2 linked regions of the Oryctolagus cuniculus genome follow. Each later gene encodes a partner of the first gene's protein in a complex. Links are inferred from orthologs where the notes say so. Each region holds a gene or a part of one and is shown in the gene's direction. Other genes may lie near its edges.

Evidence for each region. The genes of interacting proteins can lie anywhere in the genome.
Region 2: the proteins of RNH1 (region 1) and RNASE1 are in contact, whole or in part, in a crystal structure (PDB 3TSR), measured with the Mus musculus proteins. The link is inferred for Oryctolagus cuniculus from reciprocal best matches to the Homo sapiens genes RNH1 and RNASE1. Residues at the interface, in NP_001165571.1 of Mus musculus: Cys7, Asp32, Thr60, Asn89, Asp117, Glu145, Tyr146, Asn174, Glu202, Trp257, Trp259, Glu283, Ser285, Trp314, Lys316, Glu340, Glu397, Ser401, Asn402, Gln426, Val428, Tyr430, Asp431, Ile432, Tyr433, Trp434, Thr435, Asn436, Glu437, Arg443; in NP_035401.2 of Mus musculus: Arg26, Glu27, Lys32, Gln36, Pro48, Thr49, Gln53, Lys56, Arg57, Met60, Asn62, Gly63, Ser64, Cys65, Lys66, Pro67, Val68, Asn92, Lys94, Asn96, Leu111, Lys112, Gly113, Asn114, Ser115, Lys116, Asp121, Ala134, Glu136, Val143.

Annotation. Positions count from the first base shown.
Region 1 is NC_091432.1:183,024-185,677, reverse strand, and holds part of RNH1 (ribonuclease inhibitor), read left to right. Parts: exon of another isoform or gene 1-214; intron 215-458; 5' UTR 459-513; coding exon 514-599; intron 600-1,561; coding exon 1,562-1,732; intron 1,733-2,117; coding exon 2,118-2,288; intron 2,289-2,434; coding exon 2,435-2,605; intron 2,606-2,654. UniProt on the Homo sapiens protein: Ribonuclease inhibitor which inhibits RNASE1, RNASE2 and angiogenin (ANG). May play a role in redox homeostasis. Required to inhibit the cytotoxic tRNA ribonuclease activity of ANG in the cytoplasm in absence of stress.
Region 2 is NC_091443.1:54,022,403-54,026,150, forward strand, and holds RNASE1 (ribonuclease pancreatic), read left to right. Parts: upstream 1-1,405; 5' UTR 1,406-1,510; intron 1,511-2,647; 5' UTR 2,648-2,672; coding exon 2,673-3,116; 3' UTR 3,117-3,356; downstream 3,357-3,748. UniProt on the Homo sapiens protein: Endonuclease that catalyzes the cleavage of RNA on the 3' side of pyrimidine nucleotides. Acts on single-stranded and double-stranded RNA.

The DNA of each region.
Region 1 (2,654 bases):
CGGGTCTGCCTTGACCTTTCGTGGGACACGGATGGCTTCGGGGGCGCCCCTCCCCCTCCCCGCCTGTCTCCAGGCCGGGACTGGGCTCAGCTTCGCTGTCGCTCACTCCCGCCTGGCTGGTGGCCTGGCGTCTCCTAGGGCTGGGTCTGGGCTGGCCCAGGGTGAGGGCCCCAGCCTGGAGGCTGTCAGGACGCTGGGACCTGGGTGGCCGCCCGTGAGTGCCCGTCGCTGTGGGGTGACGTCCAGGGTCCTGGCCTCGTGGGACTGTGGTGCTGGCAGTGTGGGGAGGGAGGGGCTCCACCACGGGCCCCGCCCCAGCCCCCCCTTCCCCTCGAGGCAGAGGCTTCCCGGTGCACACCTGCTGTGCCCCTGCCCTGGGTGCAGGGAGGCCGTGCCTGGGCCCCCAGCCTCCTGGGTTCTGTGGTGGGAGGGGCATCTGGACTCCTGCTGTTCCGCAGCTCTTGGGCCGGTACGCACTCTCCTTCCCGCCTGGACCACACTGCGGCCCCCACCATGAGCCTCGACATCCAGTTCCAGCAGCTGACCGACGCCGGGTGGACGGAGCTCCTGCCCCAGATCCAGCAGTGCCCAGTGGTCAGGTCAGCTGGTGGACACACGGGCCAGCTGCTTCTGCACGGGGGCTGGGCCCCTGGGCTGTGGCAGCGTCTGTCTTGGTTCGGTTTGGGTATTTTAAAAGATTGATTTATTTGAGAGGCAGCGTGACAGAGCGAGAGCCTCGTCCGCTGGTTCACTCCCCAGATGGCCGCAACGGCCGGGACTGGGCCAGGCTGCTGCCAGGAGCCAGGAGCTTCACCCAGGTCTCCCACAGGGGTGCAGGGGCCCAAGGGCCTGGGCCATCTTCCTCTGCCTTCCCAGGCCACAGCAGGGAGCTGGGTCGGAAGTGGAGCCAGCGCCCACGTGGCTCACCGCGGCCCCGGCCCTGGCAGCCGGTCACTTGTGACTCTTAGGGGTTTTTCAGCCATTTAAAAATACAAGAATCCCGCGGCGGCTTGGGCAGGGCTGAGGACCCGGGGGCGGTCAGGGCCCGGGACCCAGCCTGTCCCCGTGCAGCGGCTCTCGCGGCCCCGGTGCCTGCCGTCCTGGTTTTCCTCTGGCAAATCTGAAGCCATCTTAGACTTGGAAGAGTTGGGAGGACAGTGTGGGCCCTGCCCGGTGCCGGAGCCTGCCCCAACAAGGCCTCTCGGCCCGGCCGCCCCACTGCCCACAGCTCAGCCCGCTGCCACTTGGAGCTTGGCTGCTCCCCCAGGGTCCCCAGGGGGCCCTCTGCTCCCTCCCCGGGCGACTTCATCCCGCTTCTCTTCCTGGGCTCTCCCAGGGGTGCTCAGGAGGGGACAGTGGCAGCTGGGGACACCATCTGCCCCGGGAGGCTGCCACCGGTCATCTCCAAGGTGTTTGCCCCGCAGGACCTCCCGCCCTCCTTGGAGCCGGTGGGGGGATGGTGGTGCTGGCTCCGCCTCTCCCGTGTCCGTTCCCTTGGGGGTGCCTGTGGGGTAGGGGCCCCCAAGCCCCTGGACGCATGCTGACCGGGCCCCGCCCGCAGGATTGAGGACTGTGGCCTCACCGAGCCCCGGTGCCGGGATGTGAGCACCGCCCTGCAGGCCAACCCTGCCCTGACCGAGCTCAGCCTGGACCTCAACGAGCTGGGGGACGCGGGCGTGGGCCTGGTGCTGCAGGGCCTGCAGAGCCCCGGCTGCCAGCTGCGGAAGCTCAGGTGCTGGAGGGCGGCTGGGCGCAGCCTGGGGCAGGGGCCGGGCGGCTCGGGCACAGCCTGGGGCAGGGGGCGGCTGGGCACAGCCTGGGGCAGGGGGCGGCTGGGCGCAGCCTGGGGCAGGGGCTGGGCGGCTGGGGGCAGCCTGGGGCGGGGGCGGCTGGGGGCAGCCTGGGAGAGGGGGCGGCTGGGCGCAGCCTGGGGCAGGGGCTGGGCGGCTGGGCACAGCCTGGGGCGGGGGCGGCTGGGGGCAGCCTGGGGCAGGGGCGGGGGCGGCTGGGCGCAGCCTGGGGCGGGGGCGGGGCGGCTGGGGGCAGCCTGGGGCAGGGCCGGGGCGGCTCGGGCGCAGCCTGGGGGCAGCCCTGACGGCCCCGCCTGCCCGCTGCAGCCTGCAGACCTGCTGCCTGACCGAGGCTGGCTGCGGGGTCCTGCCCAGCGCCCTCCGCGCCATGCCCAGCCTGCGGGAGCTGCAGCTCAGCGACAACGCCCTGGGGGACGCGGGCCTGCGGCTGCTCTGCCAGGGACTGCTGGATGCGCAGTGCTGCGTGGAGAGGCTGAGGTGACGCCCGCCGCCCTCCTGGGCCGCCCCCTGCGCGCGGAGCCCGGCATGGGGAGGCCCTGGGTGCTCGCGGTCAGCACGGGGGGGGGCAGGGCGGGCTGGGCCGGGGGCTGCAGCCCTGCGCCCAGCGCGAGGCCTTCCCCCAGGCTGGAGTACTGCAAGCTGTCGGCCGCCAGCTGCGAGGCCCTGGCCTCCGTGCTGCGGGCCAAGCCCGGCCTCAAGGAGCTGGCGCTGAGCAACAATGACCTTGGGGAAGCCGGCGTCCGCGCGCTGTGCCAGGGCCTGAAGGACTCGGCCTCCCAGCTGGAGGTGCTCAAGTACGGTGCGGGACGCGGGACGCGGGCGTGGGGCTTGGGGCGCGGGTGG
Region 2 (3,748 bases), on another chromosome or scaffold:
CAAGACTGCCTGTGGTTTTTCAGCTCACGTGTTTATCAAAAACAAAAGCTTGGCAATTACTTGACTCTATCCTCATCAAAAAGCAGTTCAAAGATCCCCTCGTGTTGTTTAAATGATCTCCCATCCCCTGTGGACCATCGCAAGAGCTGACACACATGAATTCTCTCTCTTTGCCAGGCGATTCCTCAGAGCCTTCTGCACCTTATTTCAGCCTAACAGCAAATCTAAGAAGTATGTATTATTGTCTCCTCTTTAGAGACAAAGAAACTTTAGAACAGGGAAATTAAATTCTGTAACTGGCTCTGCTGCCTGAATCTAGATCCCAGAGGGATACTTGGATAACTCTTAGTCTGGAGCTGTCAATCAGCCAATTTTGTATTTTGCCCACCTGAAAATTTGGAAGTTTGATTTATCTTTTGATTTCTGTACTCAGCTCTGACTTATAGAATCAGTGATCACTACATATTTAAACGAAAACCATCATAGACCCCAGCGTGGGGGTGGAGGGTGAGAGGAAGCAGCCACTTCCTCTCCTTACTGATCAGATACAGCCCTCCTTCCTTCTCCAGGTCCTGAAGCCTTCCTGGGGGGCAGCAGGACAATCCCCTATTCCCGCCCTACCTGCCCAGGTCAGGTGCTGTTGGGAGATGTGGAATTCCAACCAGAGTTTTTCCAGGACCCCTGGGGAGAGAAGTTCTCCCTCTCCCATAGTCATCTTACAAGCCCTTTGTTAACTTTTTTTTTTTTTAAGATTTTATTTATTTATTTGAAAGTTAGAATTACAGACAATGAGAGAGAGAGAGAGACAGAGAGAGACAGAGACAGAGACAGAGAGAAAGGTCTTCCATCCCTCTGGTTCACCTCCCAAATGGCTGCAACGGCTGGTGCAACGGCCGGTGCAATGGCCGGAGCTAAGCCGATGTGAAGCCAGGAGCCAGGAGCTTCTTCCAGGTCTCCCACACAGGTGCAGGGGCCTAAGGACTTGGGCCATCCTCTACTGCTTTCCCAGGCCATAGCAGAGAGCTGGATCAGAAGAGGAGCAGCTGGGACTTGAACCAGTGCCCATATGGGATGCTGGCGCTGCAGGCAGAGGATTAACTTACAGCACCATGGCACTGGCCCCCCCTTTGTTAACTTTCAAGGACTCTTTGGTGAAAAGGGACCTCAAAGAGGTACCTGGCTTTTTTGGTGTATGTGAGATTTAGGCGCCAATGCAGGCATTCCTTATGAATCACCATATAGATGAGGTTTACATGGTAAGAAAAATTCTTAGAGGCAATGATTCACTCTTCTCAAAAGTCCTGAAAAGGGAGTGGCCTGGTTGCTTCCCCACTCCTTTCCTGACAACATCCTTGTTTTCACCTGTTCTGAGCCCTAGATAACCTTCCCGCTCTTTTCTTCTTAGAAGCCAACCCCCCTTCACAGTTTAATATAAAATGCACAGCCCATGGACGGAGTAACTGCAGAAACTGCCCATCCACTCCCTCCAGGGGACTGAGCTGGAGATCAGGTAAGCAGCCCAAGAGATGCTTCCAGGAGCTGCTTCTACTTGAGAGTTGGGAAGAAGAGAGCCAGAAAACTCAGCACTTTTCCCACTCCTAAATTTGGGGTTTGGTTTCTCTGTAATTCCTGCTTAGCTCTGACATATAGGTCAGAAAGTTTGGGCTGACACTAGTGCCCACAAAGCTTGTGTCAGGTCTGTATCTGCTAGGGGGAGGGGCTTGGGGGATGGAACTTGCAGGCTGCAAAGATACTCATGGGGCTGGAGAAGAGGGATTCCCCACTCTGGAGGAGGAAAGCATCTCTCACTGAAATACAGTGAAATCCCTTTATGATGCCAGTGGCAGGCACGGGACTGAGTGTCCTTGGAGTTGTAAGAACGAGGCTCTTTCAGATAAGGTTCTGGATAATAACATGGTCCTGGTAATAACTCCAGGGTCTGGCTCACAGTTTATTGAAAATGATCTTCTAATGAGCTATTTGCACATTGGGCACACATGTATTTTATTTTTCAACTGTATTTTGGGGTCAAAGAAACTCCAGTATTCAAAGACAATACTCCCAGGATTTTTTTTTTTTTTTTGACAGGCAGAGTGGACAGTGAGAAAGAGAGAGACAGAGAGAAAGGTCTTCCTTTTGCCGTTGGTTCACCCTCCAATGGCCGCCGCAGCCGGCGCATTGTGCTGATCTGAAGGCAGGAGCCAGGTGCTTCTCCTGGTCTCCCATGCGGGTGCAGGGCCCAAGCACTTGGGCCATCCTCCACTGCCTTTCCGGGCCACAGCAGAGAGCTGGCCTGGAAGAGGGGCAACTGGGACAGAATCCGGCGCCCCGACCAGGACTAGAACCCAGTGTGCTGGTGCCGCAGGCGGAGGATTAGCCTGTTGAGCCACGGCGCCGGCACACTCCCAGGATTTTAGGTCACTTGTGATCCCCACCTGGAGGGATGGAGGGCCTCTGTCTAGCAAGTGGCAATAAAACACACTTGGAGAAAGGTGCATGCCAGTGTTTCCTCACTGGGACAAACTCTCAGGAAGAGGGATGTCTGCCTGATATGAAAGTGAGATTGGAAACCACGGAGGCCACAGGTGGCAGGAGGAATTCTCTTTGTGAGAGGATGCTTCTCTTTCTCTCTCCCTTTCCCAATCAGACTCTTCCAGGAAAGTGAGATCGCCATGGCTCTGGACAGACCCCTCATCCTACTTGTCCTGGGGCTGCTGATGCTGGGATTGGCACAGTCTGTTTTGGACAACGAGTCCCCGGCCAAGAAGTTCCAGCGGCAGCACATAGATCCAAAACTTCCCCTCAGCAGCACCTACTGCAACAAAAAGATGGAGCAACAGGACATGACACAGGGCTGCAAGCCACTGAACACCTTTGTGCACGAACCCCTGAAAAAGATCCAGGCAGTCTGCTTCCAGGAGAAGGTCACCTGCAAGGACGGGAAGACCAACTGCTACCGGAGCACCTCCAAAATGCACACCACAGACTGCTCCCTGTTAGATACATCCAAGTACCCTGACTGCAAGTACCAGACCGTTCAGAAAGAAAGATACATCATTTTAGCTTGTGAGGGGAACCCATTTGTGCCAGTCCACTTTGACGCTTCTGTGGAGTAAGGCCAGAGCAGAATGAAGCACTTCCCCCCATCGCCAAGCCCATCATTTTGACACTGCCATTCCCTTCCTCCTTCCTTACCATAAGGGAAACAACTCCAGTTAAGTCTATTCTCCAACACACACACTTTTTGAGACTTGCTTCTCCATGGTTTGGGTGGTGGGGTGTCAGGAGTGTGTTGTGGGGGGAGTCCCATGTTAACCTGATCACTGTTTCTTTCAATAAAACTTAGTTGCAACCAACATCCTGATTTCTGGAGTTTTCCATTCAGTTCTGTTTCCATTAGCTTTTTGTATGGCACCTGGAGTAATTAGGTGCCTTCCTTTCTAACTCTTGGATTTAAGTGACTTGAGAAAAATTTCTTTCCTTGCAGATTTCTTGATGCTGAACATAAAACTCTTGAATGTAGGCTGTTTTAGGTAAAAGGGAGCTGCAGCCTTATATAGAGGGGGTAGAACTTGAATACTACAATTCTCTGGTGAAGAAGGAAGGAGAGCTTGAGCCCAGGGTGGGGAGGAGGAATTTATGAAATTGTGACCTTGAATTTCCTTTATCCTTCTTTGTTGAGTGAGCAGAAAAAAATGATCCGCTTACTCAGAAAATCAGAACCCTAGATTTTAGAGCTGGGAGGGAT